Linked DNA regions of Kluyveromyces lactis. The protein of the gene in region 2 interacts with the protein of the main gene of each other region in a pairwise test. Links are inferred from orthologs where the notes say so. Each region holds a gene or a part of one and is shown on either strand. Other genes may lie near its edges. The genes, in order: SDS22 and GLC7.

Evidence for each region.
Region 1: the proteins of GLC7 (region 2) and SDS22 interact in binary tests that used the Saccharomyces cerevisiae proteins (3 or more experiments, as listed by UniProt). The link is inferred for Kluyveromyces lactis from reciprocal best matches to the Saccharomyces cerevisiae genes GLC7 and SDS22.

The regions. Positions count from the first base shown.
Region 1 is NC_006040.1:237,543-240,710, reverse strand, and holds SDS22 (type 1 protein phosphatase-activating protein SDS22), read left to right. Parts: upstream 1-1,572; coding exon 1,573-2,661; downstream 2,662-3,168. Other genes in the region: guanine nucleotide exchange factor DCK1, read left to right, coding at 1-514; ACP1 (acyl carrier protein), read left to right, coding at 831-1,196; KLLA0_D02794g (putative alanine--tRNA ligase), read left to right, coding at 2,865-3,168. UniProt on the Saccharomyces cerevisiae protein: Regulator of the mitotic function of yeast type 1 protein phosphatase.
Region 2 is NC_006042.1:1,158,128-1,161,324, reverse strand, and holds GLC7 (type 1 serine/threonine-protein phosphatase catalytic subunit GLC7), read right to left. Parts: upstream 1,780-3,197; coding exon 844-1,779; downstream 1-843. Other genes in the region: EMP24 (Emp24p), read right to left, coding at 1-118.

The DNA.
Region 1 (3,168 bases), on a different chromosome or scaffold from region 2:
AGAGTATCGTGTATTCTATACGGATGAAGAAACCAAATCGAAACTAGATCCTGCTGATGTGGAATTATTAGTTGCTGCGTTCAACGAATTGACCATTGTCCTAAACCGTTGTCTCGCACTACACGGACAGCTGTGTCCAATCAGCTTAAGCAAGTCACATACGCTTTTGAAGGACTTATTCGCCAAGAATTTCGAAAAAGAGATCAAAGTTAGCGGAATCGATATCAACGAGACCAACGACGAAATAATCGCAAGAATAAAATCAATCCAGTCATCTCAGCAAAGTTTTTCCAAGAGAAGTAGTATGCTAATGTCAAGATCCATATTCTCAGAGAGCCACTCTATCAGATCTGCTGGAAGTAACGGAAGTGCAACAAAAAACAGTATGCATGATCTCACCGTTACCTCTTCCCATAGAACTACAAAAAGCAACGCGCCATCTCACGCAGCGTCACATGCTACGAGAATATCTCGTCCTACCACACATATCAGCATGCTAAGAAGCACAAGATAGCATAGAATAACTTTCTCCCACTGCAACTGTTCTAATTCTCACCTCATGTAGTCTATATAACAATCCAAATACATTTAGGAAAACATCAAAACGTACGGAGTGATTTATGTGCCTAAGCAATTTTTCCCGGTAAAAAATCGATCAAAAGCCAATTCTTTGCAGAGAGAGAGTTTGGATTAAACCTTTCTACCACAACTATTTTCAACGATCATTTGTTGTACATTCTTTTTATTTTACATTCGATTATTTCAGATCGTTGTTACTGTACAGTATAGTGTCTAGTGATATTACAGAGAGATAAAGAAGGAAAGCAAAGATGTTTAGAAGTGTATTCCGTGCTGCCCCAAGTTTGACCAGAGTTTCTGGATTGAGAAGCGGATTTGTAAAGCCAACTTTTTCAAGTGCTTCCAGGTTCTATGCTTCTTCTTCTCTATCCAAAGAAGAAATCACAACCCGTATTGCTGATGTGATTAAATCTTTTGATAAGACAGCTTCTGCTACTTCGATTACTGCTAACACTCAATTTTCCAAGGATTTAGGATTAGACTCATTGGATACCGTTGAATTGTTGGTTTCCATTGAGGAAGAATTCGATATCGAATTCCCAGATAAGGTTGCAGATGAGCTCAAGTCTGTCGGTGAAACTGTGGAATACATCGCTTCCAGCCCGGAAGCTAACTAAGCAATTGGGATCCGAAACGTTGCCCTTCGGTTTTACCAGAATTTAATGTGGAAGAATGTACATATATTGACACACATATATAACTTATAATGAAAGATAAGATAGTTTTGATGAACTGTTTCATGGCCAAAGTGCTATATGTAAACGTCTATTTGTATATCCTTATTACTCCATATGTTTGAACTTGATTTCCATCGGGTCATATGATTTGTAATTCAAACATTTTTCCTTGCGCCCAATGATCACTGAGTTCAATTTTTAAGGTTATGTAACATGCAAACCACATCTTTAGACAGACGGTTGTTGAGGTAAAGACAATGGTTATAAACGCCATTTAGTATTAGATCCGAACCCATATACTTCCAATATATAAAAAATGAGCCGTGAAGAGAGAGTTTTGAGTGATACTGATAATGAAAATACGAATGAGGAAATAGAGACTGGTATTGATTCCCCGGACGAATCATCTTCAGGGTTGTTCACAGCGGGACGCTCGTTACAATCGAACGTCATAGAAGACCACAACCCTGACTATATATCTGCAGATGCAGAATTGGCCGCAGAGATACCAGATGACACCGAAGTAATTGACTTAGTGCATTTGAAAGTACTGGCGTTGGAAGACTTGAATTTGTTGAGATTTAAGAATTTGAAGAAGTTATATTTAAGACAGAATTTGATCGAGTCAATAGCTGAACTGGAGGTACTACCGTTAGAAAACATGGAAGAGATTGATTTTTACGATAATAGAATCAAACACATCTCGAAAAGCGTTAATCTTTTCTCTAATCTAAAGACACTCGACTTATCTTTTAATAAGATTAGAACTATCAAGAACGTCGATAAATTGGTAAACCTCGAGAATTTGTATTTCGTCCAGAATAAGATATCTAAGATTGAAAATTTAGGAACCCTTACAAAGTTGAAAAATCTTGAGCTTGGTGGCAACAGAATCAAAGAAATTGGTCCTGATGACTTGAAAGGTTTGGCTAATCTCGAAGAGATATGGTTGGGTAAGAACTCAATCCCTAAATTGATAAACTTGCAACACCTCAAAAATTTGAGAATATTAAGCATCCAATCTAACAAATTGAAGAAATTTGAAGGACTTGAGGAGTTGGAGAACTTAGAAGAATTGTATGTCTCTCACAATTTTATTTCGAAGATCGAAGGACTTGAAAATAACCTAAAATTAACTACTTTAGATGTAACTGGTAATAGACTTACGAAGATCGAAAACTTAAAGCATTTGACACATCTTACTGACCTATGGGCGTCTGATAATCAAATTGATCAACCGTTCGAATCTCTAGGCGAAGAATTGGGGAAATTACCTGAATTTGAAACGATATATCTCGAAGGAAATCCAATACAGACTAAAAATCCTACACAGTACAGAAGAAAGATTATGTTGAATTTGGGGGAATCGCTTCAAAAAATCGACGCTACGTACGTTCGTGCCTAATTAAATAAATATACGCTACGCACTTCTATTGAATGAGCAGTTAACCAGTATTTGCTGCTTTTCCCTCAGTTATATATATGTATGTACATATCTAGCACAAACAACAGAACATCATTTACTAATCAATATTTTAACCAACTTACATCATTGATAAGAAGAGAGGAAAAAAGGAACTTAAAACATGTTAGTCGGCATAAAAGCTGATGGTAAGAGGCATAAAATTGGTCGGAACGTTAGCCATGGTTAAAACTGCAAACCACACTTTTGTTGGTTCTCTAGCCTGCCAACGAGACTCATTTAAGGCCAAAGAATTTGAGACTACTGTAATTGCATGCGATGTAGGTAAGAAGAAGAATACCTTTGAGATCGAACTTCAGGATACTATCTTGTTTCCAGAAGGTGGCGGACAACCTAGTGACTCTGGGAAATTCCTTCTCAAAACTGGGGCCTCAATTCCTGTCTCCTCAGTATTCAGAAGAGGACTGCATGCAGTTCATATCACTGATA
Region 2 (3,197 bases):
ATAGCTCGTCACCTTTGTTCAAGTTTTCAAAGAAACAACGACGACCGTACGCTGGTAGATGTACCGTGTGTGCGTTACACAAACCAGCAAATAGTAACACCAAAAATTGTAATAGCATTCTTATATGTAAGGACTCTCTGGCTACTAGTTGTTTTTCACTAGACGGTTGAGGGTAGTGCAATAACAAAGATGAAGGGACTCAACTCGATGAAGTGTGTGAATACAAATGTCATGTAAGTAACAGATCGTCAAATAAAACACGACTTCAACTTTTTGCCAAAAAAAAAAAAAAATAACACATAGAAAGATCGAAAAAAGAGGGTTTTCCAAAATTTTCAGTCTATGCTAAAAAACACGATGTGTCTACAGCACTATGTTAACGTACGTGTTATTGGTTTAGTCGATTGATGTATGGAAAAAGGCTCAACGGCTAATCTACAGAATTTTCCTTTGCAATATGTAGAATATATATATATATGTATATATCACTGCGTATATATATACTAATAACATGAATGATGGGATATGTGTAAAAGGGTGATAAGAGAGTAAAGTGGAGATAAAGGTTTGAAATTGAAATTGTAGCAGCCCGCTTGACATTCGACAAAGAAATTATGTTACAATATATTAGAAAGGTATAAAGGAAAACGTTCTAGCTCAGCAAGTTTTTCCAGTAATATATCTTATACTTTATGTTTGAATTTAATAGTTTATTTTTTTCTGGTTTTTTCATTGGGGATTTTCTTTGAGATGGGATTCGTTGTTTAAAGGGGGGGGAGAGATGAGGATGATGATGATGATGATGATGATGATGATGATTAAGAAGGTTTAAATTTAAATTCATCATTTCTTTCTTCTCACTACGTTTCGTTCCAATAACTTAGAAGCTGGTTTCAAGATTTGGAACGAACATAATAAACTTTCATCAACAGACATCATAGCACCAGCGTTATCGAACTCACCACAGTAGTTTGGAGCACTGAACAATGTTACCAATTGTCTTTTACTGAAAAACTCGTATCCGTCTTCGACGACTTGATGTGCTCTACAGATCAATTCCATATCTTGTTTTTGTAAAAACCTACTCACTACGTCAGGACCAAAAGTGAACGAGACACCTCTATCGTTTTCTGACCATCCAACGATATCTTTATCCGGATCGGACCATAACAAATCGCATAATAACCCCACGTCTGGGATATCGGTGGGTCTCATCACACGTCTGATTTGTTCCATGGTATTTAAATCTGGGGATAATCCACCATGCATACAAAAGATTTTTTCATCGACAATCGCAGCGATAGGCAAACAGTTGAAACAATCCGTAAAAGTTTTCCAAAGCTTAATGTTATAACGTCTCTTACATTCGTCGTAAAACCCGTAAATTCTATTGATCGATGCACATTCGTGATTACCACGCAAGATAAAGAAATTCTCCGGATACTTGATCTTGTAAGCCAACAGTAAACAAATGGTTTCTAGCGATTGTTTACCACGATCCACATAATCACCTAAAAACAGATAGTTGGATTCTGGTGGGAACCCACCGTATTCGAAAAGACGTAACAAATCATAATATTGACCGTGGATATCACCACAAATCTTAATTGGTGCCTCCAATTCCAATAGGATTGGCTGCTTGATGAAAATAGATCTGGCCTTGGAACATAAATACCTAATCTCGTGTTCTTCCAAGTCAACCTGATGGCCAGGTTTCAACCCTCTCACTTCCAACAATCTATCAATGATATCGTCAACGTCTACTGATTGTTGATCCATTTTTCTTATTTTATTCCTTGTTCCTTTGTTTTATAATTATCGCGGTACTATATCAAACGTTCTTAATAATTGAAGTAACCGATGGCAACTGTGATGCTTCCGTGTCTTGGATTATCCAAAAGTATTGGTTCTTATTAATCCTTATTTTTTTTTCCTAACGAAGCAAACAGATTATAGAATATAGCCCGCAACTTTAAAAGATAAAAAAAGGTACTAGTAGAAATTACCCTGGTTTGAAGATGCAATATTGTCTCACTTCCAATTTCTACAAACAAACAGACCCTGCTGTATTCTTTCTAACCTTCGTATGAACGTAAGTCTCTCAATCTCTTATGTTTTATAATTATCTTTCTTTAATAATATTAATTTTTTTTTTTAATCAATTGATTGAAAGAAAAAATAATAGAAAAACACACACAGAGTTTTAAAGGAAAAAAAATAGAATTAGAAAATAACCCGAAAAACGAGATCTACACCGTTTCGTATTGTGTTCAAACCTGTCGCCAATAACCACACACTGACCTGACTCGAGCTGGCGCCAATACTGATGATCTTCCCGGAAACAAATGGGAAGGAAAACACTGAAAATACCGTGTTTTCCCAATGAATAAAACACAAGTTGTAAGTAATGCCAAAAAGCGTTACCGAAAGTTTTCAATTCTCAATTTTCACTTTTGTTCTCCTTCATATGGGAAAAAAAGAAAAGAAGTCGCAGTGTCAGCTTGGTATCGCTTCGCATTGGACTGGAAAACCAACTGGGGCTAGGGATGGGGCTAGTGCCCAGTGTTGCCTTGCCAAGTGTCGTATATGTACTATTTAGTTATGGAATGGGTTGTGTTCTGTTTTTGTTTGTGAGCGGGAGGGTGCTAGGTATTTCAGAGATGTCGGGTTTCGATGGCAAAGATGCTACTACTACTGCTACTGCTGCTGCGCAGCAGCAGTAGCAGTGTCTATATTCTGCCTAGCATTTCGCACCGCAGCTCGCGCACGCAGCCTCTGACATTTACGTCCCTTGCCTTCTTTGCCTACTTCTCTTCTTCTCTTCTCTTCTCTTCTCTTCTTCTCTTTCCACTCGTTTACCATATTTATTATTAGAATCAAGATGTAAAGAGCTGGCAGGCTGCAGTTCGTTACATTCTCCATTAGGGATACATGAAAAAATACATATAGTAAATAAAACAAGGGCGTACAATAAGCTACCGCACCTTGCTATTTCGGGCAACACCAAGGCATAGAATCCGTTGGTTTGGATGTGTTCTCACTTCGTTGGTTCTGCCCTACCCGATAAGTTAGAGAAATGATGTATAGTGATGATATAGGGGAGACCAAAATGAGGGAAAGAGGGAAATCGTTATGAACGAAACCAGGGTAACAATGAGCGATGACCACGTCTCCCAAGGTTGTCGTTTTAGGATATT